Tamandua tetradactyla: one gene and its partners. The protein of the gene in region 1 interacts with the protein of each later gene in a pairwise test. Links are inferred from orthologs where the notes say so. Each region holds a gene or a part of one and is shown on either strand. Other genes may lie near its edges.

Region 1 (7,036 bases):
TCAGAAAGACTTAAACCATTTCAGTAACAATACAAATACAATACAAAATCAGAAACGGTACCAAATCTCATCAAAGTCAGCTACAGGCGTGTTCTAAGGCAAATTCTCCTTTGGCTCTGGACCTGCAAAACTCAGAACAAGTTATCTGCTGCCAATATACAAAGGAAGGACAGTCATAGGATACATATTCCCATTTCCATAGGGAGAAATTGGAAAGAACACAGGGGTCATAAGACTCAAACAGTTCTGGAAATCTGTAGGACAAATGCCATTAGATTTCAAAGTCTGAGAGTCATTTATCCTCAGGGCTTTGGAAAGTGGCATTCCCATCCTTTCCAAGGGCCTATGTAGCCACCAGGCTCTGTCCAAATGTAACCTTGGGGGACATTGGGGAGACCATCTTTTTCTCAGCTCCACCTTCTCCAAGCATCAGGGCAGCACCTGAGCTCTCTGCCATCTCCGGGGCACATGCTCAACCCCTCCGAAACAATGGGGTGGCAGTCAGGCTTTCCCAATCCCCAAGGAATGTGCTCTACCCTGTCCAAGGCCTGAGGCAGCACAACTCTTCCACTTCAGTGAGTTGGAAGGCCCACCCTCTGCTTCCAGGAAAACTCACCCTCTCCAAGTGCTTGGGTGGATCTGTTTTCCTGGCCCTTGGTTTCTTGACTTCAGACCTTAGCTTCCATAGTTCTGCCTCTGAAGTTATTTTTCCTTCAATTTGTCCCTTTTCTATTCCTTTTAATCCAGACTGGTAGTGGTTCCATTTATTCAGATCCCACAACATTCTTGTTGGTTTCCTATTCAATAGGTTGGGATCGTGCCCATCAGACAAAAGGACTTTCCACAGATTCTTACTGGGTAACTCCATCTCCAATCCTAGCCTTTTCTGAAATAGCTAACTGGTTCCACATTTGGTTAAATCTTCACATGGGGCACTATTCTCTGGAGTCTCCCTTTCTGGAAGCTCAGAATTTTCCAGACCATCAATTTTGTTTTTTTATACACAAAAGTTCAGTTCTCAGCTTATCTCTTTCCTGTTGCATTTCACTATAAGCTGCAAGGAGAAACCAGGCTGCACTCTCCACATTTAATTTGGAAATCTCTTCAGCTAAATAGCCAAGTTCATGGCTTTTAAATTCTGCCTTCCATCTAAAACCAGTGGTGAATTTTGCTAGATTCTTTGCCATTTTAAAACAAGGGTCACCTTCCTTCCAGTTTGCAATAACACATGCCTCATTTCTGCCTAAGGCCTTATCAGAGTTATCTTTAGAGTACACATTTCTACCAACAGTATCTTCAAAGCACTGCAGGCCTTCTCTATTAAGCTCCTTACAATTCTTCCAAAATCTTCCCCTTATCCATTTAAAAAGTCGTTACAACATATTTGGTATTTGCAAACCACAACAGCACCCCACTTCTCCAGTACCAAAATTTTCTCTAGTTTGAAAGCTGCTGGAAAGCATTATATCAGAAATGGAACATCTTTTTAAAAGGGGAACTTATTAAGTTGCAAATTTACAGCTCTAAGGCTTTGAAAATGTCCACCTCTTCCTAGAACAGAATCTAGGATAAAACTTTCAAAACACCATTGTTGCCTTTATTAGAAAGAGAATGCTAGGCAACATGAAAACTCTGCATGGACTAAATGGTCCATTCCTTATTTGCTATTAGAAATTCAAATGTACAAACACCTTTGTTGGTCTCTCCAATTTTACATTTATAAAAAAATAAGCACTGGGGACAAGATGGCCAGTTCACAGTGATAATCTATGAAGGTTTGTAGTCAAAAGACATAGATTTGTGTCTCTCCATGCCACCTGTTAGCAGAATAGTGAGCATTAAAATAGGTATGCCTAAAAGCAGATTTTAAAGACAATTTCTGTTTAAACATCTTTTTTTATATCACCTGTGCTGGTCTGGAGCTATTATGTAGCCCAGCAAAAGGTCACGTTCTCTTAATCTGTCTCTGTAAAGGCAGAACTATTGTGGATGGGACCTTTTGGTTCAACTGAGATGTGACCCAGCCCATTCAAGGTGGCTCTTAATCCTGTACTGGAGGCTTTTATGAGAGTATAGATAGAGAAATGCCCAGAGACATTTTGGAGAGAGCCATTTGAAACCAGAACCCAGGAGAGATGGACCAGCAAACGTTGTTTTTGCTTTTCCACATGACAGAGGAACCCCGGATGTCAGCAGCCCTTCCTCAGAGGAGGTATCTTCTCCATGAAGTTTTTATTTGGACATTTTCATGGCCTTAGAACTATACATTTGTAATAAATAATTAATAAATCTCCATTGAAAAAGCCAACCCATTCGGATATATTGCATTCTGGCAGCTTTAGCAAACCAAAGTATTTTGATTCACCCTGGTTGTAGCAGCAATAAAATGTGTGATATCAAGCAGAACTATCTTGAAACATTTGTTTCTAGTCCAAAATAGAGCTTTATATTGTATTTTTCCTAAATCTATGTACTCTTCTCTTCCAGATGATCATAATTGCAAAGCAGACCTTGCTTTGACATCCAATGGCAGGACGAAGGTATACTATCACTCTTCTGTGGATATTCCATATGAGCACCCAAAACCTATCCTTCAGTCAGATCCTGTGCATAATAACGAAGAAACACATGAACCAGAGTAGAAGAAAAGATGAACATATTGAGCAAGGACTCATGATAGAACAACTTAGCAAAATATTCTTTACCACCAAGCACCGATGATATCCTCATGGACAGTATCACCTATGTAGAAGGAACCCAAATCCCACAAAAGAGATGATTTTCAGGTTCTCATTAGGAATCAAAGAGAAATGTTATCTTCTGGCTCATTTGCCATATGAGAAAATGTAATCTGGTGTACTTACTAATATGTTGTATAGTAAAATAGTAATAAAATATCTTTTCATAAAAAAAAATAAGCACTTCCTCAAAATCCTCATACTGACTCTTGGATGAAGTAGCAACCCTTCCTCGGTACTTAATGGTGTTTCTCTTGAGGTAAGTGCCCCTTGGCCTCCTCATTCTCCCCAGTACCATCAGAAAATGGAGTGGGGAGTGGCACTCAGCTTCAAGAGCCATAGTATATAACAGTGGTATAACTTTATTATAATGTACCAGTATCAGAAATTTTTGTGCATGCATTTCATATATATATATAAAACACTATATATTTTATATATATATTACTATCAATCTTTTTTGTTAGTTTTTTTTTAATTTAAGAAGACAAACAATACACTTAGCACCACCAACAATGGATATCTTAGCTTAACCATAGACATATTTAAATAAAGTAGCCATATAATCATTGTAAAGCCTGTGTTTGCATAGTAAGTTTCATAAACCAATTTAAAATTAAGGCAACAAGGAAAAAAATCTATATATTCAGATAGCAAAGTTCTTAAATTCTAAGTATTAAACACTAACTTAGATACCATTTGATCAGCTGTCAAAACTGTGAATGTTCTCAAAATATCAAGTAGAAAGTTCTTTTAAATATCTGCATTGCTATAGTAATGACTTATGTTACTAAGCATTTTCCTGCTGTCAGGAAAATATGAAGATACAAATATTTTTACAATTAACATATGGAAATCTTCCTTTTTTTTTTTTGCTTGGGCAGGCAACTTATGGAAATCTTAACCACCTAAAATGGATGTCTAAGTTAGCTTATCCATAGGCATATTAAAGAAAACCTAAGTAATCATTGCAAAGCCTGTTTGTACAATACGTTTCATAAACCAATTTAAAATTAAAGCAAAGAATGAAAAAAAATCTATAAATACAGATATCGGAGTTTCTTGAATTCCAAATATTAAACAGTATCTTAAATACCATTTGATTAACTATCAAAACTGTGTGCATTCTCAAAATATCAAGTAAAAAGTTATTACAAATATCAACTTTGCTATACTACTATCAATTTTATTTTAGATATTTCTAAAGTTTAATTTTTCTCTTACTTTTTCAGAGAAAAGTTCAGATTGAGTTGTCTCATCAGTGGCTCCCCAGAAGATCCACTCTTGTAGGATCACAACAGTTGTGGGGGTGGAGATAGAACAGGAATCAGAATCAGAGTTCAAAGATAGTGGAAAATCTGGACTTAAAATTTTTAGAGTAACTAACCCATATCGGTGAGACATTAAGAACTTTAACATTCGTTTCTAAACTTTGGCACAGATCGCTTATTTCTCTGAAGGCTGGATCCAAAAAGCATAATGATTACAAGAATATGCTGTGGTAGCATGGTAAATTCCAGACAAGCCCATAAGCAAGATGGGGAAGGAAGCACAACTCCTGAGATGGTCTTGGAAGCAGAACTGATAGAATTCAGGGGAAGTGATGGAGAGGAAGTGATCGACCTCACTCGTGAATCTGTAGAGCCACAAGGCCACTCCAAAGCCATACTGGCAGCAGGGTGGTAAGCAGTGATGGAATGGCTGATGAGGAACAGAGATGCGTATGTGACTAATAGTGCCCACCACAATTTCCTGGAAGAAGGAATTTTATGTCGCCTGCTCTTTGATTATATCCAATGTCGAATTTGCACGGATGGATACTTGGAGATTGAACAGAGTAGTTGATGCATCTATTCTACAGAATGTGACCACATCTTCTATAGTAAGTGTCTCTACATTTCCCTTAAATATACTAAAACTTGCCCAATTTATTTGGTAAAAATCAGCCACCAGCACTTCTGCATCTATATATGATGCAAACAGTGTTGCTATATACAGATACCCTGCTGGGTATTTTTCCATGTCTTTGTGCAGGAATTATAGGGTCTTGACCTTCAATGCGCTGAGCTCAAAAAGTCTAACTTTAAAAATTTTCATCTGGAATAAAGAAAAATGTCCTTTGATTCCCATGTATTATGAGATGCTACTTTTTATTTTCTTTGGTTTCATGCTGCAGGGCCATACTTCATTTGTCTTAGTACACCAGAGACTGGTAGTTACCCCTCAAAGCAGTTTACCCTTTATTTCTCATAGCAATAAAATTTTAGCTGGCTGCATGTAGCCATTTTAGATTATGTAAATGAGGACAAGACCCTAGACATGATAGAGCAAGTAGACGGAAGGAAACTAAGAGACTGACAACTTTGCAGATCAGAGCTACCATACAAGTTTGAACTCTTAATCAAGAGAGATATACATTTCATTCTTGATTAAGCAACCACTATAATGTGTCTTGGCTAGATTAATGGAAACTATACTCTAATTAATGGATTAGGCAGGTTGCTGCCTCTGGGTTTCTCTGGATTTTCTGATTCTGTAGGAGTGGAAGGAAGTCAATCCTTTCTGACTACTTCTCTAACTACGAGGGTGAAGGGGGTGGTATATGGGTAGGAATTCTCCTGGGACTTTGCCCACCTCGGGAGATACCCAGGCACAAAATTTCTAGAGTCATTGTTCTGTACTTTTCTGCAACTTGCCAAGCCAGAGAGGGGCTGCCCTCACCCTGGCTTTACAGGTGTGCTTGCCACTCTGGTCAGTTAAGCAGCAGGTCAGCATACTTCTCTGTGAACAAAAAGATTACCTCATCATCATCCCAGCTGCTTCAGTAGCTGAGTGGGTCAGAGCTTTGGGAAGACCCCCCACTAGCCCCCACTTCCTCTGCAGAGTCACAAAGCACTCACAACTCAGTCTGAACTTTAGAACTGGAAGGGGAGCGATCCCTGCTCTCTTTTCCTGAGATTGAGATGTCAATAAAAGCTTGTTCTTTTCTTGATTATCTATGGTTGTAGCAGTGTTGATTTCCCCCCTTAGAGATTCAGTTCTGCCAATGGTGAAGTGTCCATTCCTGCTTGTCTGTCTACTCGTCTTCTTTGGAACGTTGCCCATATCCTAGGCCCCAATTACTTAACTTGGCACAGGATATATAAGATAAATGTGGTATACACCCTACTGTTGGTCTCTTCTTCTGTTCTAAAGTAAAATAAGTAAGAAAACTAACATGAAAATTAAAATTAAAATTTAGAAAAGTGTTCTCAATATTTTCATCCCACATTTCAATAGATCGTTTTGTGCATCCTACTTTGGAGACTGTAAATTGCTCTGTGGCAAAGCATAGTGTGTCACAAATTTGGCTAATGATTGAAATACGTAAAGTACCTATTAAATTCTTTGGGTTCTGCTTTTGCATGCATTATTCCTTGGGGTCATGATAAAGAGCATACGCTCTCCAGTTTGCCTCAGTCTTCAATACTCCCTATCGTATTTTACCCAGCCACTTCACGTTTCCCTTACCTGCCAAGCTCCTGTAGAAATTTGTGTTCTTGATCTTTGTTTTAAAAGAAAAAGACAAAGAGGATTCTTACTTTTTAAAAAATTGAGGTTGAATTCACATACAATGATCTTAAATGTATAATTAGATGAGTTTTAGCAAATATATACATTGATGTGACTAACATCCCAATCAAGATAGAGAACATATCTTGCCCTAGAAAGTTCCCTGTGCCCTCTTCCGTCAATCCCATCCCCCATAGGCAATCACTGTTCTAAATACTATCACCATAGATTAGTTTGGGGACACTGACTTTTGTTACTTCATCATCTAGCTCAGCTCCCCTGGGAGGTAAATATGACAGGAATTTGGAGTATAAGCACTAGGGGGTATCAAGGGCTTGTTTCAGTGGAGGCATGCCTTACATTGTCTCTGTTATGAATCTGAGCAAGAAAATATTAATAATGACACCTGTTATGTTCAAAACACAGTACGAGGCACTTCACACATCGTAGGCAGTCAAGGTACAGATCTAGGCAAGAGCAAGGACCTTATAGAATATAAGAACAAAAGCTGAAGGGAGCTGCCACAGGGCACGTTACTATGAGTAAGTTGGTATGACTATTGTACATGGTTGTGTGAAGAAGTGAGAACTCATACTCAAAAAAGAAAATCAAGGCCATATTATGAGTACTTGAGGGTGCTATGTTATGGGGTTTGGATATTTTCTAAAGGCGCAAGGAGCCTTTAAAGACTCTTGAGGGGAGTTGCCGGAGAAGGATTCTTAAAGATTCAGCATGATCCCTGTTGC
Region 2 (7,453 bases), on another chromosome or scaffold:
GGCCCTTTAGGGAAATGAAATGGTTAAATGGACACTGATTCTGAAGGAAATAATAAAAATAAATAAGTGGCATAAAAGTAAATCACCCTAAAAAAAAATACAAAAAGGCAAGTCACCCTCCACTGCGCCTGTCCTTAGCATTTGCTCCCCTCTCTTAACTGGACGAGGAAAAATGTGTTGGGAAAACAATGACCAGAAGTCATCCGTCTGGTCCCTCTGAACCCACACAAGCTCTGCTTCTATAGTAGACACCAGTCTGAAACCATGATATTATCAGAAGCTGTCATCATAAAGCTTGGTGGCGACTATGAAGCATTTTGCTGTCTTGGTTTTTGGATGAGGGGAAGCCCTGGCTGTGGAGACTGTTTTGGTTGTAAAGGTCCACAAAGACTCACTGGGTCCAGCTTGGGTGGGTACAGCAGGAATCCTTATGGCGTGGAAGGGGAATGATCTTGAGGACATCTAAGAACAGGAGCCCTGGAAAGGCCACTCTTAGCTGAGACAAGCCCTGCATGGCACATTCGGTATTAGAATGGGAGCTTGGGCGTCTTCCATTATTACCTTCTTTGGCTCCTTCCACTGTCTGGTCCTCTCATCTTTAGCTGGTAACAACTGCCAAATTCTTTTCTCTGTGCTGTCTCTATTTTATTTTTTTTAATTAAAAAAAATTTTTTTTAGGTTGCGTGGTCTAGGAATTGAATCCAGGACTCCTGCACGGAAGGTGAGCATTCTACTACTGAACATTTAACATTTCTTTTCTGCCGTCCTCCCATGGAAAGCCACAACCTCTCCCTCCCTTAAGCCGTTCCCCAACCAGGCTATCAGCTCCATGTTCTCAGGAGTTTCTCACCTACCACAGGCTCCCTCAGCTCCTCACATCTGCGCCCCTCATTATTCTTCTCACCCCAGTGTTGGGTGAGCTTCTTTTTCCCCCAAACATACCCTGGAGGACCTCTTTTTCATCCACAGCTTTAGTTATCACTCCTGTGCTATAGACTTCCAAATGTGTATGTGTGGTCTGACCTTTTCCTTTAAGCTCTAGAACTGTAGATCCTACTCCTTAGTTGACATTTCCATGTGGATGGCTGAAAGATGCCTCCCTCTGCTGTGTAAAGAGCTGGACCTGTGATTCCTCCCTCTCCCACTCCCAGCACCCCAAGAGCTGCTTCTCTACCATTGGCACCAATCCATCTTGAACTGCAAGCTGAAACACTAGACATCACCACTGACACTTATTTTAGTGTCTTTCTCACCCTCCATGTCAAATTCATCAGCAAGCTCTGTGGACTGAACCGTCCAAATATGTAGTGAGTTCATTGCTGTCTGCACTTTCACCATGAGCTAGGTCAGGCTGGCAATCATTTTCTACCTAAACTGAGATGGTAATTTTCCAACTGGTACTTCTGTTTTTGCCCTTACCTGATCCTTCTCTCTAATGCAGTGGTCTTTTCTAACCATTAGAGACATATTTCACGGGAATAAAATGCACAGGGCTCTGGGTACAGCTTGCCTGGCCTTGGGCATGTGTGCTGCTTCATTTTCCTCATTCAAGCGTTGTAGGTAATAATGGACTTTTAGTATGGAGCTGTTGGAAGGTATATAGGAACTGAGGACATAACATGCTCAGAAGAGAATCTGGAACCTCATGGTAAGCTCTTGATAATGCCAGCTGCTGTTGATCCATAGTCCCATCCCAATGTCCCATTCTTATTAGGGTAAAGACAAAATTATCCACACCCTACACAGAATGATATGATCTAGCACCCACCTTCCTTTTTGCTATCCCCAAAGACTGACCACCCAATCCATGGAGGTGCTGGCTCCTTCTAGGGATCAGGCTTTGCTTACACAATCACCCCTGCTTTCAGTGCTCCTTCTCCTTCTGCTTAAGTGACTCCTACCCAGAGTTCCGACGTGAGCTCCATCATTCCTTCCACTGGAAAACTTACAAGTAGGCTGAATCTTCCTCTCGCTGCTCTTTAACATTTCTTATGAAAGTGGGGATGTGACATGAATTTGAGACTTGATCTTGTTTGTGTCCTCTTTAACCTGTGGCCCTGTGAAGCAGGTACTGTGTCTGCTCTGCCCATTATTTTGCGCCTAGTATTGAAAGCAAATCCTCTCACATGGTTTCTCAAAAATATACACTGAATGAAGGAGGGAATGAATGATCATCTTGTCCTTCTTTCTCTGCCCTGAGCTAAGCAATCCAGGACAAGAGTCTTCTTTTCCCACTGTAGGTCACCAAATATGATGAAAAGCTACCATCCGGCATAGTTGTTCTTATAGTCCTTAGGTCCTAGGGTTCTCGATGGTCACAGAATCCCCAAAGATTCATTTTGAAGGGCTTGTGGTCTGAAAGTGGAGAGATTCAGGCCACACCTAATTAAGCCACTGTACCTCCTGGGTAATTGGTTCTCTATCCTGAGATGGAGGGTTTCCCACCCTGTCCGTCCCCCACTGGCCTGTCATCAATCCCATCCCTCCCATTTGCTTCAGGTTTGATTCCATTGCTGACACTGGCATGATTTGGGTTTTGTGGTTATGGGAGCAGAAGATTGCATTGATTTTTTGAGAGAAAGGAGACACTTGGACTGAGACTTGGCCAGACCTGGATTCTCATATCCAACAGCCCCTCCACTCTGCATCTCTCTCAGAGGCTGTGGCATTGATCCTCAGGGACCTTGCTTCTCTCTGTACATTTGTTCTGCTTCTCTCATGCTACTGGGTGGTGCATTTATTCTGTATATTTAGTGGAATGTAAAGACTAGCATGGCCATAGCATGGGCTGCTGCCTCTGTGAGGACAGGCTGTGCTGGGCTCCGTGTGGATGGGATCATGTGAAAGCAGACATGGCACGTTGATGCCTTTTCGGCAGGAGGGGAATCTCCTCATGAAATGCTGTGAACATGGCAAGCAGAGCTACCACATTTCAAGCTTCTCATACCACTTCTAGTTCTTCTAGAATAAACTTTGCCTTCAATTTTTTACACAGATCTTTGGAATTAGAACCAGTACAAGACACATTAAAAAATTAGCTGTCTATTAACTATTTTTAGAGTCATCAAAAATGACTATTAAAATATATTTTGATTTTTGAATAGGTAATAATTTCATAATGGTTAAAATTTTTAAAATTATGAAGTACTATACAATGAAAGTTCTATTTCTCTCATCCTTATTCCCCAACTACCTGGTTAGCATTTGTGATGGTTTGAAACTCTTGTGTACCCCAGAAAAGGCATGCTTTTTCAATCCATTCCTGTGGGGCAAGCCTACTGAGGGTGCGACCTTTTGGTTAGGTTATTTCAATTGAGATGTGACCCAGTCCATTCAAGGCGAGTCCTAATCTTTTACTGGAGCGCTTTATGAGAGGATAAAAGACAAGAAAAGGGAGAGAGCTCAGAGGGAAATGCACAGAGGAGCTGAGAGAGAATGCCGCTGGAATCAGAAACTGAAAGCAATGGAACCTGGGAGCAAAGGATCAGCAGATGCCAGCCATGTGCCTTCCCATGTGATAGAAAAACCCTGAATGCCAGCAGCCTTTCCACTTGATGCCTTAGTTTGAATATTTTCATAGGCTTAGAACTGTAAATTTGTAAATGAATAAACCCCATTGTAAAAGCCAGTCCAGTTTTGGTATATTGCATCCTGGCAGCTTTAGCAAACCAAAATACCACACCTCTCCAAAACAGGTAACCAAGTTTTATTTTCCTTTGAAATATGGACTCATAAGAAGTTACAAAGCTAGTACAAAGAAGTCCCAATACAGCCACTTAAAAATTTTTATAGTATATTAAATTGAAGGAATATTATTAATATACAACACACACTCATATAGTATTTCCATTCTGTTTTACTGAAATGGAATCACACTATGCATACTTTGTACCTTGCTAAAAAAGTAATATCTCTAGTTAGCAAGGTATTAAGTAGGTAATTAATCAAGCTGTCTTTTTAACTAGACACTTCGTGTCACTTTTCCTGGACCTAAGTTTTTTTCCTCTAATGCAAAACATGAGAATTTCTTTACTCCATATGTTGGCTCAAATTTCCAGGTTTCATTAAAATAATAATGATAATAATAAAAACTAGCCTTAGGGTTATGTTTCACAAGCATGCTGTTTTAAAATGCAGATTACCATGCCTCTTGACTGAAAATGTCTTTCCCCAGCTCTGAGTTGGTACCTGGAAATGCGTTCTTTACAAAACAAGTTCTCCAGGTTATACTGAGCTTCTGGCAAGTTGAAGACACAGCTCTCAGAGAAAAGCTACTGCCTAACACTATATTGATCGATAGGAAATGTTCAAAAGTGAACTGTACTCGGGAAGGATAAACCCACAGCACACACCCCACGGCTCTGTGATCTTTGCTCTTTTGCTAAGTCCTCACCGGGCTGGGAGGTTCTGCACTTCATCCCTTCCCCCTGGCACACCCCTCAGCCCTTCTTTCACCCCCGGAAGTTCCTGTTCTGGTCTCTGTTTAAACACCTGGGTGAGAAGTGCGTGCTCGCACCGGTTTGGACTCTGCACCATGCTGTGTCTGACCCCTATCCTGGTGGCAGTCATCTGCATCTTGGTGGGGTGGATCTTTAAAAATGCTGACAACAGCAGAGAGAGAAGGAAGGGAGAGCCTGGAGCCGGGGCCCAGTCCCGTCCCTGGGTGGACGAAGATTTAAAGGATGACACCAGTCTCCACCACCAGGGAGAAGGTAAAGACGCGCGGCGCTGTGTGGCTTCGGCATTCAGCATTTTTATCGGTGCAGGTTGATGGCCCGGCTTATGGGGAGAAAGATGCATGGGCAAGTCAGGCCCAACCTCACCTTGAATGGTGCAAAGGGATTCGTGTTTGACAAAGACAGACTGTTCCTCTCAGGTGGGCAGTTGGCATCTGCTGGCATCTGCTGGCACAAACCCACCTTGGTTCCAGGATTCTTATCGTAAAAGCTGTTCAAGGGTAGGCGTTTCTCCCTGGCTCCAGTCCTGGGGTGACTTTTTAAATCCTTCTGAAGATTCACACTGGGCTGGCAGAGGGTCGGGGTAAGAAGTTGTTTCTTAATTTTAAAAAATTGTTTTTATTAGGGCAGTTGTAGGTTTCCAGAAAAATCATGTAGAAAGTAGTTAGATTTCCCTTTACTCTCCTCCTCACATGCACAGATATCCCTATTATTAACATTTTGCATGTGAAGATTTCCCTATTTATTAGCATTTTGCATTAGTGTGTTTTTGTTACAATTGATGACATGATAGTATAATAATTCCTCTGTTAACTTTAGCCCACATTACAGTTTGCTTTTGTGTTGTACAGGTTTGAATGTTGGTCTTCCATCCTGTCACTTTGCTGAATTCATTTATTAGCCCTGGCGTCTTTGTTGTGGATTTTCCAGGATCCTCTGTGTATAGGATCATGCCATCTGCCAATAGGGAAATTTTTACTTCTTCATTTCCAATTTGGACGCCTTTTATTTCTTTCTCAAAGAGAAAGCCTCAGGTTGTCCTATTGGAACAAGTGAAATTCCAACACAAAAGTTCTCTAGTCAGTACCAGATTCATGGAAGTTTTAGGGGAGGTGGCAGCGGACTTTTCTACCTTGAGTGTCACTGGCCATCCAAAAGCTTTCATGCTAACTGAAATTTTAATTAAATGTCCCAGGTTGTCCATTTCAGCAAAGAAAGCCTTTTTTTAACTTACGTGGGTGTCACCTGTGCATAAAAATGTTCCCACAAGCTTGGGGAATGACAGATTGTTATATACCCATGGTAATAAGTAGCTGTCAGAACCATTTTTGAATCTAGTCAGGGGGTCAATGGCAATTCAGTAAGCACGCTTAACAAGCCAACTATCCACGTCAGCCTCTTGCTTCTGACAGTCAGCCAGTCAGGACGGATGCACTCCAAGGTCAGTGCCCCCTCGTGCCAACCCATCAACGACTGTCCCAGCCCTTACACTGCTCCTCCAAATAGGGTCAACCCATTCACACCTCTGAAAGCCCACTAGTTGCTGAGGTCCAGGCTTTCCCACCAAGAGCTCACCTATGTGGGTTAGCAGGAGCTACTACTGATAAATATTCAGGAATTGTCTGGGTCATGTGCTAAATCATCTGGAGTTTGAAATCAGGCCACAATGGAAGACTTTATACTACTGAAATGGACAAGTGTTCTAAATCTGGGATTTAAAAAATTTCCTCCCCGGGAGCGCTGGTTTATCAGCACAGCATTCCAAAATCTCTATATAAGGTCAGCATTTTGCTGCTCTGGGAGGGAATGCACTTTGCCAGCATTGTTTTTCTTTTTTGTACTAATAATTAATAGTAAGTGTGTCACCCTTGGGCACACCCACTGATTAATTTTTTTGACTAGCTAATTTAAAATGTTGGTTTGGCAGAACCTCTGTAAGATTGCAGGCTTCTGGGATGCAAGACAGGTACATTTAGATGAGGGAATGTTAGGAAAGGGGAAGGAGTTGAATGAAGTCATTGCCCTTGGGTTCAAGCCTGAGTGGGTCCCACTGGGGGAGACTTAAAATCAGCCTGGCGATACCCCAAAGAGATGAAGAGGCTCAGAAAACAAACTCTATCACCCTTACTCTATTGCTGCAGGATAGCATTGCTTGCTCTAGCCAATGTCTTTGCATTAGCCTCCCAGCCCCAACCCTACTGCAGATAGGAGTGGATGACTGATATCCCCAGTGGGATCAGTGCTTTAGAGTCCAAACTCAAGTGCCAGATAAATGAGTCCAGGCATGGGCTCACTCCAATAGAAGGGCATCGAAGCGCTGACCAGAGGTCTTCTTCCTAGAAGGTCACACCCACCCGCCTGCTCCCCTGGAAATGTAGTCCTGGCCTAAGCAGGGAGCAGAGTTATGCTGAGGTTGTAGAAAATGGGATGTCCTTCAGGCAGCTCCTCAGCCCTGAAGTTGCTTCTTCACCTTCAGAGTGTGTCTACTGGGATAGCTGCCTCACCCGCCTGCATGGACATGGCTCCTCAAGGGCCCTGACATGCTGAAGAGAGGAAGGAGGATGAGGTGTGCAAGTAGATCTTACTCATTCGTAATTTGAATCATTTGAGGCCCATTTGCAAAGATTTTGAAATCAAACCACCACCACAACAAAGTAACTTATTTAGAGAAACAGCTGGAAAAATACCTTCATGCTAAATCAGGCCACAAGACTTTATACTACAGATGTGGTTAGGAGTGTTTGACCGGTAAACCTGATTATGGAGCAATTTAGAGATTCTTTGGCATCACAGCAAAGAAAAAGAGTGAGTGTTCTTGGCATCAAGAGCAACCCCCGGTTCCCCCCCGCCCCCCGCCCCATCTACGGTAGAGGTAGGAGATGAAAGGTTTGCTACGGAGGCTGTGCTCCTTCCTCTGGGTAAGAGCCTTACTCCTTGAGGCACTCAGGGGCTCAGTGGCAGAAGCAAAGTGGTACATTTGCTCACTACCCTGCTTT
Region 3 (6,898 bases), on another chromosome or scaffold:
TGTAAAGCACATCGTGAGTGCTCAAGAGGAATTACTGATTTTGATCCCTTGTTAAGGGGGTGGGAGCTGTGTTTTCTGATGTTTACAGTACCGTGGCATTCCGCACACTCCCCTCTTCCTTCCATCTGCTTCTCTCTTTCCCTCCAGTGGTAGCTCAGTTGGGACTTGACGGGAGTCGGGGAGGCCCCACCTGCCCCAGAGGGGATCATGAAGGCTCCAGGCAGCAGGGAGGGGGCCCCGGCCGGTGGGGCAGCCTCAGCTCCATTTCAGCCCAGCTGTTCAGGTCAGAGACATGCAGCCTGGCACCCTCCAGGGCCAAGCCAGTGCTGTGCTATTTGTGGAGTCTCTCCGGACACTCACGCCTGGGCCTGCCCAGGATCCGGCCCTTCTCCTCAGGAAGGGAGAGGTGAGCAGGCCATAGGAGAGGTGCTTGACTCACCTGCTGCCCACCTGTACCACATGGCCCCTCTAGGCCTCAGTTTGCACCTCTGAGAACGGGGACAAGGGGCTTTCAGTGGGGACTGAGCCTCAGGGCTCACCTTCATGACTCTGTACGTCAGCCTAGAGGTCAGAAGAAACTTCTGACCTACAGTCACGGAGCAAGTCAGTGACAGATCATGGGTAAGGCAGTGGTTTTCATGATCAAATATATAAATTCATAGTGTTGGGTAATAGATTCACATGGCTCAAAATTTTAAATGAGTAACCAAAGTCCCTCCCTGTCCCCTCCCTACAGGCACACTATGACCAGATAGCTATGTCCTCCCAGGATGCATATTCTTTCTCTTTTTTTTACACAAATGGCAACATGCTGTGTGTGCTGTTTCCACCCTTGCTCTTTTTACTCAATAATATGTATTGTTCTGGGTGCCACAACAGCACAGAAAGAACGTCCTTGGCCCTGTTCACAGCTGCACGGTATTATTTCCTACTCCTACTGATGGGCGCTTAGTGAGCGTCCAGTCTCTGCCCACTACAAACCACACCGCAGCATCACTGCAGCGACATCATTTTTTGCCTGGAAGAAATGCCTAGTGGGGAGACAGCTGGGTGAGGAGCACGCACTTGTAACCATGTCAGAGACGGCGGGACTGTGCTTGGTGGAGGCCATGTGAGTTGACCTCCCAACAGCATAACACACAGACAGTCTTCAATAAATGTTAGCTTCAGTTGTTGTGAAGGTCATTACACTCCTGGAATAACGTCCCAGCTGGCTGACTTTTCACTTTCTAAGGATGCTGCAGATGGGAGGGGATGAAATGGAGGAGGCAGGGGTATCACAAGGCAGTGAGAGTAACATGGACAGCCTGTTGTCAAGCACAGAGTAGCTGCTACCCATTGTCATCAACAGAGATGCCAGCTGCCCTTCGTATTAAACCACTGCCACCTTTTCATACCATTTTCCAGATGAAGGACTGAGGTCCAGCCCAGAGGCACCCAGCCTGGCTCAGGGGTTTTCTCGCCCAGCACCTCCATCCTAGAAACATTTTTTTAGGGCCCACCCCTAAAGCCCGGAAGAATTCAGGTGTTGATACTCTCCCCACTGTACAGATGGGGAAACTGAGACCCAGAGAGGGCCACAGATGTGCCTGAAGTCACACAGCAAATCAGCAGCAGAAGCACACGGGAACTCAGATCTCTACCTCCTGGTGTGTCTGTGTCTCCTCCAATCCCTTGGCCTCATATGGCCCAAATGCCAGGGATGGAGACTCTGGCCTGCCCTGGTGACATACTCTGCTTCTCCCCAGCCACAGCCCCATCCCACCCCAGGCTTGACCCACCCCCACACCTTTACTCCTGATGCTCCTTCTGCCAGGAATGTTCCCACCCAATTGGAGCTTCCCCAACCTTCAGCTCTCAGAGTCCAAATGGCCCTTTCCCAGAGCCCTCCCCAGATTAGCTCAGGGGCACTGTAAGCACTCTCAGAGCCCTCACCCCCTTCCCACTGCAGCACTGAAATTTGACATTTACATGTGTGATTTTATGCAGTAAGTGTGTGACCATAAAGACAGGATAGGATCACTATTTCTGATTTCTCCTTTTACTTTGGACTTCAGTGTGGCTTGGCATAGCACTGTTCCTGCTCCTCCCCTGTGAAGGGATCCAAGACTGTCAGATCCTATGATTCTGAATGTCTAGTATTCTAAGATTGAAGCCTGATGCACTGGGAGCCCACTCCAGATTTGCCAAATCTCACTGTGGGACTTTGCAGCAAGGCCCTTAACTTCTCAGAACCTCCGTCTTTCCATCTGCAAAAGGAGACCAACGATAGCAACCTGAGGCATATAGGGGTCCCTGGAAAGTAGGGCCTGCTCCCAACTCCACATGGGGGTGTGGTCTAACCGTCTATACTGACTTCCCCTGCCCCCAACCTGGGACAGAGTCACAAGAGGCCAGTAACGATTCCGGGGGCCAGAGCATCTGCGGCTCACCCAACATATGGCCCGGAAATGCCAGTCCCGCTTGCTCCCCCCTCCCTCCCCTACCCCTGAGCAGCGGCTGGAATTAGAACCCTGGGTCTATATTAGGGGCTGCGAGGTGGAGCAGGAAGACCTGAATTGAATTCACTGCAAGACATCGCCCGACCAGGCCACTGGCCTCTTTGAGCCGCCGGGTCCTTATTTGTGAAATCGGTACCACGCCTCCCCGCAGGTACGACACGGTGAGGACGCACACAACAGGCGATCGGTGAACAGTGTCGCCCCCTCGCACCCGAGCCCCACGCTCGCGCCCCGGACCTCCCGCGCCCTCACCTGGAACCCGCGTCAGGTGAGTCCGGGCTCCTCCAGCGCGGGTCTTGGGAAGGCTGACAGCTCGGACCCGGGTTGGTAGTGGCCGCTCCCACCGCGGGCCGGGAAGATCCAGCCCCTCGTGGGGACCCGCAGGGGCCTCTACAGAGCTGCTCTCCGCACCTGAGAAGGGCGAAGGATTCTGATCTTCCAAAGGCCCCCACCGAAGCGAAGGTTCCCTGGGGCGCGGAGGAAGGGGAAGTGAGAGCACCGCTGTCCACCCTCCCCCACCCGCCGGAATGGTTCGCCCCGGACATCCTGATTGGTTCCTCACTTCCGTTCGAACGCCGCGCCGCGCAGGTTGCCAGGCGACAGCTTAGCGTCGGTCTAAAGATTGACGCCCCGCAGCTCCGCACGCCTGACGCTTCTCTCCCCGCCCGCCGCTCGTTTTTTCCGGTGGCTGCTTTAGTCAGGGAGCCTGGTTCTTTCCTTTCGTTCTCCCTCTGCCTCTCCCAAATGGGGATTTCCTCCGGGTCCCCAGCTGGAAGAAGCACCAGTGAGCGGCTCTGGACTGGTTTCTGATGCCAGCTTTGCAGCTAAGTAGCTAAATAGCTTGGGCAAGCCCCTTCCCCTCTCTATTGCCCCGACTACACAATGAATGGGTTAGTTTTTTAAATGTGTATATCCTGCAGCCCCCAAATTTATCCTAAGGAAATGATCGAAGACGTGACCAAGGAGTGATACAGCCCCGTGTTATTCACCATAGCAAAGTAATGGAAACAAATACCCAGTGAAAGAGGATTTGTTATATAAGGTCTTCAAATGGAATAATAACAATAAGAGATAACTATTGAACTTTTTACATGCCAGGCAGCTTTATATGACATAACTGTCCGTGCTCACTATAATCCACGTAAGATAGGTGAGCATTTAACTACACCCATTTTCTGATGAGGTATATTATGCAATCATTTCAAAATACTTTAAGGACGGTGTGACGGTGGCTCAGTAGCAGAATTCTTGCCTGCCATGCCAGAGACCCGGGTTCGATTTCCGGTGCCTGCCCATGCAAGGAAAAAAAAATGATGTAGTTAAAAGATATTTAAAGATAAGGGGGAGATGCTAAGGGTGTATTAAATGGGGGGAGAAAGCATGTTTTCAAAGCAACTTTTACTGCATATAAATATATGGTAAATGCATAACGAAGCAGCCCAGGTGCATATGTATAATTATTTATAATTACAGCGATTAATTTTTTCTCTGTGCTTTTATGGATCTTCCATATTTCCAACAATTGAATTTGTCAAAAAAAAAAAAGACATTTTAAAGGGGTTAGAATAAATTAATTCCAAGGGCCCTTCAAAATGAGGAAATTTTGTAACAGTGATTCACTGGGTATAGGATTTTGCTCAATTTGGAGCCAGCTTCTGTTTCGTTCTAATTGGTATCTTTCATTTATTCATTGCTCAGCCAATGATGCAGCACTTAACTGTGTCCATAACCTGGGCAGCCACTGAATGGATGGGCACTTGACAATATGTCAGTAGCTAAAAATGATTTGTGTACCCTGGCACAAGCACCAACCAAATCAGCACAGATAGCATCATAAACAGGGAGTCTGGCTCTACCTGTGAGCACCAGATAACATGAAACCTGGCACTAACTATGCTCTTTGCTAGATTATGCTCGAGGCTTTACACAGGTTATCTCATCTGACTTCAATACAATCTGAGTAGAAACATCCTATTATTTCCTTTTTTTTTTTTTTTTTGATGAATAAACTAAGACTTGCCTGATCCAGAACCAGAGCTCTGAACCATTCTTTTGTTCCCCTGTAAATGTGCATAACTATTTGGCATTAGCTTCAATAGCAGTGTTGAGAGAAGGCAAAGAGGGTTCTGTGATCCTGTAAAACAAAAGTGAAATCTGACCAGGGGCAGATCTGGGCTTTCCACAGCTTATACTTACTGTGCCGGTTTGAAACTATTGTGTACCCCAGAAAAGCCGTGTTCTTTAGTCCTGACTCAGTATTGCTGGGTGAGATCTTTTTGATTAAGTTGTTTCCATGGAGATGTGACCTATCCAATTGTGGCTAGGACTCGTTTGATTGGGTGGTTTCCATGGAGCTATGTCTCCACCTGTTCAATTGCTTACTGGAGTCCTTTAAGAGGGAGCCATTTTGGAAAAAACTTCAGAACTGACACAGAGGAGGGACCTTTGGAGATGCAAAAGGAAAATAACCCCAGGGAAAGCTTTCCAAATGAGAAGCCAGGAGAGAAAGCCAGCAGACTTCTCCATGTGCCTTCCCAGCTGGCAGAAAAACCCCAAACCTCATAGATCCTCTGTTGAGTCAAGGTATCTTTCTCTGGTTACTTCAGTTTGGACATTTGTTATGGCCTTAGAACTATAAGCTTGTGACTTAATAAATTCCCTTTTTAAAAGCAGTTCCCTTTCTGGTATATTGCATTTCCAGCAGCATTAACAAACCAATACGCTTATACACTTGAAGTGGACGTCTTTAAAAAAAAGAGCACACAACTTCAAATATAAAATTAAGCACAAAAGTGAATAAGATAAAAAACACAACAAATAACAAAGTATTAAAAGTTGACAAATTCCACACAAAAAAAACCCAGAAAAAAATGGCATTATTGTTATTAATTAATTACCTCTTTGACATACCTCTAAAATTCTTCCCACATATTAGCTTCTGGCTCCATGTGTACATTTCAAACCTCTCCTCTATTCCCCATATACTTCTAATGTCGGGTACTGTAAGCCCATTCTTGTCAATATGACCTCTGACTTTGTACCTTCATGTCGCAACACCAGTTGAGCAAGCATAGTGTCTGTGGTAGGGTAGGGATATTCCTGAAAGCCATTCTTATATCAGGTCAGTTAGTAATAATTTATTCACAAAAGTGACTGGAAACAGCATAAATATATCTACTAAACCCAAGCAAATGTGTCCTCAACTCAAAGTCCCCTTAGCCACATCCCCAATGTCATCCAACCTACCCCCAACATTACCTACGGCAAAGAGAAGTTGGAGTACAAAGAGATGGTGGTTTGAGCAGAGTGCAGCTAAAATATCTTACCTTGGCAAATTTTGCAAAAGCATATGACCTTGTGAACACATTGCTAGGGTGCCTCCCAGAGCTCAGCGTCCCCATCATTAAAATGGGAATGACAGCCATGGTGTCCTGGTCAGATTCTTCTCTGAGATGTACACTTTTAATCAGGGGTTGGGAGATCATTGAGATGCCTTGATGAAAGGCCCTGCTGACATCTTCAATGTTTCCCTTTGTCCTGCAAACCCTCGGGCTTAAAATAAACAAAACTAAACAAAAACTCAAAAGCTCATTCCCAAATGAAGAAGTGAGGCAAACAAGAGTACAACAAACTTCCCCGGGACCCCAGATTATGCCACTGAAGAGAGATGATATGGGTGCAGTCAGATTTGAGAACTTTGGACATCTGCATCTGCCAGCAGCATATTGGCAATGTCCCCGATCATCAAGGACCTGTTAAGCACCCAGTGCCAATTTGGAGCGATTGACAGTGTCCCAGGCCTTGTCCACCCCCAAGGTGGGGGTATAAGAATAAGAAGGTGGACAAGCTGTCATGAGCTGCGCCCGGAGCTGGGCAGCCCTGATGGCCTCACCCTGGCCCAGCACGATTGAACAGCAATAACCTCTTGCCCTGTTGACAGGCCCGTGGCTCGTTCACTGTGGGCTTCGTCTCCTCCAGAGCCCTGAGCTTGGTAGATTTTTCTCCACTCAGCTCAAAATCCAGATGATATCAGCCTCAGATGTCAGCTCTGTGTCTCCATCAGCCTCAGATGTCAGCTCTGTGTCTCCATTAGCCTCAGATGTCAGCTCTGTGTCTCCATTAGCCTCAGATGTCAGCTCTGTGTCTCCTGGGTGCCCATGGCTGTGTTTTATTTTGTTTCTTTTAATCTAAAGGGTGTTATTGCCATACAAATTTGCTTGCATCTAACTTCTCTGGAAGTGGAGGTTACTGGGGTGGCTGGGACACAGGGGAGGGAGGAAAGCTTTTTAGAAAATAGTGTTTATGCCTTTGGATTTTGTATCTTGTAAATATATTATCTATTAAAAAAAAACATATGTGTGGAAAGCAGTTTGGTGGTTCCTCAAAAAGTTAAACAT
Region 4 (7,867 bases), on another chromosome or scaffold:
TGAAGTTTAGCAAATTCAAAAAATAAAATTCTTGATTCCAGTCCTCCCAAAACATTTCTTCCATCTCAGTAAATGGCACCACCATTTAACAAAGTCATAATCAGCCCAGAATCTTTCCTCTATCTCACACCAACCTGTTAGCAAATCCTCCAAATTTTGGATTTCTACCTCCAAAATATTGTGAGTCCATCCGTTCTCTCCATACCCTCTACTACAATCCTTGGCCAAATCATCATCATATCTTGTCTAAATTATTGTTCTTGCCTCCAAAATGGTCTCTCTTACTCTGTTACCCTCAAATCTCATTTCCACACAGCAACCAGAGTGACATTTTTGAAACTCAGATCAGACCATTCCTCTGCTTTAAACCTCTTCCTGCTTTCACTGCAAATAAATTCAGTGCCTTTACCTCAGCCTACAATGCCAGAATTCTGGTCCCAGTCCACCAGGACAGCCATATTTTATACCATTCTTCATCACATACACTTCAGTCCAACTACCCTGGTCTTTTACTCAGATCTTTGCATACTCTGAATTCTTTCCCACAGGACCTTCCCATATACTGTTTCCTTCCCCTGAAAAGACCTTCACTATCAGACCACTATCTTCATTCCTCAAACCTTGGCTTAAATCTTACCCCTCAAAACAATCTTCCTTGGCCACCTAAATAAGTATTCTCGGTGTTGTCCTCTATCCTCCCAGCCTGATAATATCTGTCATAAATGCTGTAACTTCATAACTGCTTTAATAATTTGTCTTGTTTATTATATAGTTTTCCTATAGCCTGTAGGCTGCGAGAGGGAATATACCAGGCCTCTTTTGGTCACAACCATGTACCGAGCGCCCAGCAGTTGACAAATATTGAGTTGGCGCTTTCTATTTGCTGAATGAATGAGTCAGTAAACAAAGAACTCTGAGGGGGTGGGGGCCTGTTTGTGGGGGGCGTGGCCTCCTTGGGGGCGGAGGAGTCTCCCCGCCAGAACCCCGACCGGAAGCCTAGGCGGGGTTTCCCAGAGCGGGAGCTCAAGAGTCGCGGCTTCGCAGCCAAAGCTGGGACTCACTTGCTTCCTCCCGGAGCACTTTCCTCACCCCGAACCCTGGCTCACCCGAAGGCACCTCTCCCCACCACTCGGATGCGTTCGTACTTCTCCATCTTATTTCTCAGAGTCGCACTTCCGGAACCCCCTCCCTCCAGACACGGCGCATGCGCAAGCCCGCCCTCTGTAAGCCCCGCCCCCGCACTGCTCGGGGTTTGTAGCGCGGAGCAAACCGAGCTCAGCTTTTGGTTCAGCTCCGCAGTCCTGGTGTGCGGGTTTCCAATAAACTCCCGACACCGAAGCCGGCGACCGTTTTTTCCCCATGGCCCCGCCCCTCGCAGGACTCAGGAAATGAGACGATATGCCGCTGTTTGGCGCACCCCCTCTCAGTGACCAGCACGGTACCTGCTAGTTGTTACACGTGGCAGGATCCGGCCCTTGCAAAGCCGGATTAGACAGGAGGGGTGCCTCGCCCCCAAAGCTGCCCCTCCGACTGGGGAGGTGTGCAGGGGTAGGAAGCAAGGATCGACCTCTCTGTGTCCAAGAGTGATGCTGTTTGAGAAGGAGAGAACAGATTCTCATCGGCACGGAAATGACAAACTGAATCGAAACTGAACGAGAGCGTCAGCGTTCTGTCTGTGGAGCAGGGAGCTGAGTTGGTTTCGTGTTTTCCAAGGGAGGGACCGGGGAAACCCCAAGTTGTGCAGGTTGATTCACCTGGAAAGGACGTGATACCGTCTCTGGTCCGTCCGGATTAGTGAGCACCGCGCTCGTCAGCACCCTTTAACTTCCCCTTCCATACACGTCACGCTGCAGCAAGGGTGATCTACCCTGGGCGCTCAGCTAGAGAAAACGTTCCCGTGGAAGATGGGAGGGAGGAGGACGCCTATCTGAACGCGTCGGGGAGAGGAAGAAAGACCCCCGTTTGGACTGATGGGTTCGAGGCTTCTGGTCAGAGGTAGGGTAGGGGGCTGGTTAGTATGACCGTTTAGGGTCTTGACCGACAGTCCGTTGAGATCTAAGTCTCTCTGGCGTCTCCCGCTCTGCGAGAGCGCCACAAAAGCTCAGGAACCAGGGGAAGGAGGCTGTTGATTAGCTAGGGGGTAGATTCCCTACTTCTGATTGGATGAGTAATGTTGAGGAAAGGGGTGTTTACCTTCTGCTCCAGCCCCTCAAATGGATACCCGAACCCGCCCAAGTGGAATGACTACTGGAAGGACCTATGAGGGCCCCCGACTGCTTGGCTGGTGGATAAAACTGTCCTGTTAGCAAAGGGCAGCGCAATGAAGGAAAGCCGTCACCCGAAACATTCGTGCTCTCACCTAGAAACAGAGCAGGCCTTGGTTGACCCAGGAGCCCCAGAGGGGTTAATGTGTAACCTTGGAACCACGGGGAGTAGAGCAAACATCAAACGGCTTGGCCCTTGGGTCTCTGGCGCTTCAAGCTTCTGGCTTCACCCTCCCTTTCACAGCACCTTTCTCCTTCCTTCCGTTCTCTTTGCCTCACCCCTGGCTGTCAGCGGCTCCTCCCCCAAAAAGCAACTCGCGCGAGGAGGGCGGGGATCCGGCGCCACGGTGAGGACAGGCTGACACCTAGTGGCCGTAAACCGCAACTGCCCCAAGCCACTGGCCTGAAGAGCGAAGGGTCACCCCAGCAGCCAGAGCAAATTGACCGTCTTCCCCGTCCTGTCTCCAGGGGGCCGGGAGAAGAGGGCTGGGACTGCCTAAGGGAGGCTGGGACAGCCACCGGGCCCCAGGAGCCCAAGGGCGGGCTGGAAGGGTGATGATGGGTTAGTTCGTAAGCACCTCCTCGAAGCAGCGAGCGGTAGAGTCAGGTAAACATGTCCCTCTCTAACCTGAACAGAAGTTAGTGGTCCAGTAGAGGAACGGGGTTGGGGGGAGATCATTGTCCGAGGCGAGGCTCCGATTCCTCCCTACAGACCAGGGAGATGTGGGTGTGTGACGGACCCCGGCCCAGCTCGGCCCAGGAAGGAGTTGAGGGCGGGGAGATTTTCAGAGTCTCCGCCCAGGGCGGGGAAGCCGGTGGCTCCGGGGAAAGTGGGGACGCGGGTTAATGAGAGCAAGCAAGCGAGGGCGGGAGGGGACTCCATCGGCAGTCGGGAGGCGCCAGCGCCTCCAGGACAGCCCCTCCTTGCCCGAAGTTCGCTAGGGGCCAGGCGCGGCCTAGGAGGCCCCGGGGAAATAGTCTCTTGTTCTTAGCTCTACAGGGACGCCGGAGGGGCGGAGGCAGGCGGCCAGGGCTAGGCGGGGGCTCGGGCGGCTGGGGGCGGGGGCAAATGGCTGCGCGGGGAGGGGCCGGGAGGAGCCAAGAGGCCTAGAGGGGTTTGCGAAACTGAGCGAGGCTGTTGGCCGGCGGGAAGGCCGGCAGCGGCGGGAGAAGCGTTCGGGGCGAACCGGCCTGAGAGGGAGCCCCGTTCCCAGAAAAGCTTGAGGAGGGCGCCTAGAGGGCAGAGGGCAGAGGGCCGGGAGGGCCAGCATGCCCCCACTGCTGCACCCCGCCCTGCTGCTGGTCCTGGGCGCCACGCTGACCTTCCGGGCACTCCGACGCGCGCTCTGTCGCCTGCCCCTACCCGCGCACGTGCGCGCCGACCCCCTGCGCACCTGGCGCTGGCACAACCTGCTCGTCTCTTTTGCCCACTCCATTATGTCAGGGGTTTGGGCGCTGCTGTGGTGAGTGACCGACTATGGGAGTGAAGGTGGCTCGGGAAACTCGTGCGGGGCGCTGGGACTGGCTCCCGCATTACCTCTCCATAACTCACTGGTGGGCGGAGGCCCTGCCGTCTCACCTGATTCCCCGCTTGGAATTGTATCCAACCAGCAGAGACCGCAGCCCTTGGGAAGGGGGATCTCACCTGGGAAACCCGAAGCACCCAGGATTCCACCTAGGGGCTCCTCGCTCCCCAGGCAGTCAATGGAGCGAGAGACTGGTCGCTATTCCCCCAATGACTGGCAAGGGTAAAGAGGAAATTGAGTACTGAAATGGGAGCCTCCCTACTCCTTTCCAGTGTATGGCAAACTCCGGAGATGCTGGTGGAGATTGAGACGGCATGGTCGCTTTCCGGCTATCTGCTCGTTTGCTTCTCCGCAGGTAAGTCTTACACAGGAAAGAATTTGGTGGGAGGACAGGGAGAATTCTCCTCGGGCTCCTTTCATGATGCCTTCCCCATCCTTCTGCTTAGGCTATTTCATCCACGACACAATAGACATCGTGGTGAGTCGTCAGGCACGAGCTTCTTGGGAATACCTTGTCCATCACGTCATGGTGAGAAGCAGGGCCTCTGGTATATACCTGGTATAGCCAACTTAAGAGTCACAGCCTTTCTGAACCTGGGGAGTAGGCCATCATCTTTTGAGCCGAGTCCCACCCTTGTCCTCTGTCCCTCATGCTATAATACTGAGGGCTGGCACTGCTCTTGTGCCCATATTCCGCGTTTTAGGCCAGCAATCCATGGCCTCACCTAATTAACTCCCAAGCCAGGACAGGAGTGGAGATTCTATCATGAATGAAAATAAGCACCTTACCCACAGTAAACTTTATTCCAGGATGAAACATAATCAAGGAGGAATTTTCCAGCCCCCAATTTGATGTTTGGTTAATTCCAATTTCCAGGCAAGTTTTGGCACCTGGGCTCTTTAACCTGTTCCCTCCCTTGTCCTGTAGGCCATGGGTGCCTTCTTCTCAGGAATTTTTTGGAGACGCTTTGTTGGTGGAGGTGTCCTAACACTACTGGTGGAGGTCAGCAACATCTTCCTCACCTTCCGCATGATGATGAAGATCAATAATGCCCAGCACCTCCTCCTCTACCAGATCAACAAGTATGTCAACTTGGTCATGTACTTTCTCTTCCGCCTGGCTCCTCAGGCCTACCTCACCCATTTCTTCCTGCGTTACATGGGCCAGCGGACCCTGGGCTCCTTTCTGCTGGGCATCCTACTCATGTTGGACATGATGATTCTTATCTACTTTTCCCGCCTCCTCCGCTCTGACTTCTGCCCCAAGAGTGTCCCCAGCCAGCAACATAAAGACAAATTTTTGACTGAATGAGAGCCACAGGGCCCAGGACAGCTAAGGAGAACAATCTTACAAACTGGACTTGCTCCAAACCTGGGGCATTCTCTAGGTCAGCCTCTCCACTTGGAAAGTCTGCACCCACACTATTGAGAAAACTAATGAAAGCACTCCCTCTGAAGTCCTTGTCCTTTCTTGGGCAAGGGGTGAGGGAAGCAGACAAACCGGTTGGATGGGTGTGTGAAGACGGGTGCTACCCAAAAGCCAGCCAACACATACTGCCCTGAAATGGATGCTAATGAAGGCTGAAATTATCCCCACCCCACCCCAAACTAGCTACTGGTTTAATGCACACAAGGGGTTCTTATCCCTATGATTGATGTAGCTAAAGCCACGTGACTAACCCTCGTCCCTGGTACCTAAGTGACTCCTGGCAGGTTTGTTACAGTGAGTGTGGTGGGGTGAAACAGTATTCTAAGAGGGTAGTAGACCAGAGTCTTCCCCAAGCCCTATATCTAAGATGTGTACCACGCTATGGTTTTCCCCAACCCAACAAGAAACTGAGAAAGACAGGAAGCACATATATGGTCAAAAAACATATATTTAGAATTTGCCAGCCGGACTCAGGTTAGATGATTCCAATCTGAAAAAGAAAAGGGAGCTTTGTTACTGGAAAATTAAGTTGGAATGTCATGGTTAGAAAGCAAAATGACGGTAGGGGTTGTGTCAAGGACAGTCAGTTAAAACTAATCATTTAAAGTCAGGCTTTGGTCGCTAACAGATGCATCATTTATACCTGGGGTGGAGGTTAAGGCATCTATAAAACACAAAGCTTACTTTGTTGGCAACATCCAAAGCATCATAGTCAGGAGCCAGCCGAACATATGCCTTCTTCTCTCCATCAGGCCTGGGGTGGAAAAGGAGTCTGTTTTTGCTGCCCTCACTGTCCCACCCAAACCTCCTCTCCCTCCCTGAATCCTTCTGGTGCATCAGTGGTTCCTTTGTTCATGTCATTTTTTTCCAAATAGTGATTTTTCCATCATTTGCACAGACTGTGGCTAGACAATCCACTAAGCCACAAATGAACCCAATTCCTTTTTATGGGAAAGGTCAAAGGATCCAGGACCTTTTAGCACTCAAACTCGGGTAATCTGACAAACTGTCTTACTCTATGCCAACAGATGTAGGGACAAAACAAACAACTGAACAACAACCACAACAACAAAACTCACACACACAAAAAACAAGCACCAAAACCTCACAAATCAATTCCTAAGGAGAGGACAACTGATGCCCCTTACAAAGGAGTACAATCACAGCAACAGCTGCTCATTTCATCAGGTCTGCAAACCATCCACCCTACTTATAACTCCAAGAGCAGCATCAAGGAATTTCATGTCATTTAGGCTCTTGGCTGTGGTCCCAACCTCCTCCCCACTCCATGAGGCTCCGCTCACCTGATCAGAGTGTTGACCTTGGCCACGTCAATATCATAAAGCTTCTTCACAGCCTGTTTGATCTGATGCTTGTTGGCCTTGACGTCCACAATGAACACAAGAGTGTTGTTGTCTTCAATCTTCTTCATGGCTGATTCAGTGGTCAGAGGGAACTTGATGATGGCATAGTGGTCAAGCCTATGGAAGAGATAAGATGGGGTCAACTGGCCAGGGCCCAGTAGGGGCCCCTGTTTTGGAACAAAAGGCCAGGAAAGCACAAGTGCATCAGACAATGATAGCAATCATTTCTGTCAGACTTTGGTCGCTAACAGGTGTCATCATCTGCACTCTAAAACCTAGGGACCTGGAGCTCTCATCCTTTAATTAAGGAATCATCTTGAGTCCCAAACACTTTCATATTCACTATCTTATTTGACCTCAACATACCTAAAGGTCAAAGTAGAGTTTCACAGGAAGGACTTAAGAGGTTATGCAACTTCCCCAAGAGCACAAAGCTAGACAATGGAATCTTGAAACCCAGGCCAGGATTATACAGAATGCTAGTGCTCCTCTGTGAAGCCAGACCAACTTTTTCTGCCCCATTTGGTTGCTGAACGCTGGCTCTATGCTCGAAGGCCACCAATTTTTAACAGCAACTTTAATTTGCAGCTCAGTTTAAACTTGGTGGCTTGTGTAAACCTAAAACACAGCATTTCCCCTGAAATTCAGACAAGCCAGGCTCTGCCCACCCAGACACTACTATGCAGTTAAGAGTCAGGTCTCAATTTATCATTCTAAATTCTAGGTCGAATAGGAGGAAAAAAAGTCTTTCATCAACACAATCCATTCTGCTGTCTTTCCTTAAGCAGTGGGAGTGGCAAGAAACCCATTGGTGACCCCCACCATGGCTAATTAATTTCTGATCCCCAAAGCCAGTTATTAGCAGTAACTTAACACCAAAACACCGAAGTGTCCCAACCTTTCCTTAAGCACACCGTGAAATTTTGGGAGAAGCGTATGAAAAGCTTTCTGTGTATTGTTGTACTGAACACCAGACCAAGATAGAAAACTTCTAAGTCCTACTCGATATTCCCAAGAAAGCGGATTTTCAAGCCCTGACTACATATGAGCAGTAACTAACGCGAACAGAAAATCTGAGCGACTCTGAGTTGATTTAAACAGAATTTCTACCAATATTATACAGGGGCAGTACTGACTTGTTTCTCCTGGGGGCGCTCTTCCGAGGATATTTGGGTTGTCTTCTCAGACGCAGCGTCTTGGGCCGGCGGAATGTTGGTGAAGTGCGGATCTTCTTTTTTTTGTGGCTGTGAACACCTTTCAGTACTGCCTTCTTGGCTTTCAAAG

The links.
Region 2: the proteins of TRIM69 (region 1) and IYD interact in binary tests that used the Homo sapiens proteins (3 or more experiments, as listed by UniProt). The two-hybrid records come from large-scale screens. The link is inferred for Tamandua tetradactyla from reciprocal best matches to the Homo sapiens genes TRIM69 and IYD.
Region 3: the proteins of TRIM69 (region 1) and FAM110A interact in binary tests that used the Homo sapiens proteins (3 or more experiments, as listed by UniProt). The two-hybrid records come from large-scale screens. The link is inferred for Tamandua tetradactyla from reciprocal best matches to the Homo sapiens genes TRIM69 and FAM110A.
Region 4: the proteins of TRIM69 (region 1) and NEK8 interact in binary tests that used the Homo sapiens proteins (3 or more experiments, as listed by UniProt). The two-hybrid records come from large-scale screens. The link is inferred for Tamandua tetradactyla from reciprocal best matches to the Homo sapiens genes TRIM69 and NEK8.

The regions. Positions count from the first base shown.
Region 1 is NC_135340.1:59,105,883-59,112,918, forward strand, and holds the start of TRIM69 (E3 ubiquitin-protein ligase TRIM69), read left to right. Parts: upstream 1-4,025; 5' UTR 4,026-4,620; exon of another isoform or gene 4,621-5,108; intron 5,109-7,036.
Region 2 is NC_135328.1:141,842,800-141,850,252, forward strand, and holds the start of IYD (iodotyrosine deiodinase 1), read left to right. Parts: upstream 1-4,442; 5' UTR 4,443-4,534; coding exon 4,535-4,712; intron 4,713-7,453. UniProt on the Homo sapiens protein: Catalyzes the dehalogenation of halotyrosines such as 3-bromo-L-tyrosine, 3-chloro-L-tyrosine, 3-iodo-L-tyrosine and 3,5-diiodo-L-tyrosine.
Region 3 is NC_135327.1:22,723,188-22,730,085, reverse strand, and holds the start of FAM110A (protein FAM110A), read right to left. Parts: upstream 3,013-6,898; 5' UTR 2,754-3,012; intron 1-2,753.
Region 4 is NC_135332.1:51,919,696-51,927,562, reverse strand, and holds the start of NEK8 (serine/threonine-protein kinase Nek8), read right to left. Parts: upstream 3,022-7,867; 5' UTR 2,446-3,021; coding exon 2,360-2,445; exon of another isoform or gene 1,590-2,359; coding exon 1,443-1,589; exon of another isoform or gene 1,154-1,442; coding exon of another isoform or gene 1,107-1,153; exon of another isoform or gene 1-1,106. Other genes in the region: TLCD1 (TLC domain-containing protein 1), read left to right, coding at 3,534-3,727, 4,063-4,145, 4,237-4,319, 4,719-5,102; RPL23A (large ribosomal subunit protein uL23), read right to left, coding at 5,695-5,709, 5,904-5,973, 6,524-6,700, 7,720-7,867. UniProt on the Homo sapiens protein: Required for renal tubular integrity. May regulate local cytoskeletal structure in kidney tubule epithelial cells. May regulate ciliary biogenesis through targeting of proteins to the cilia.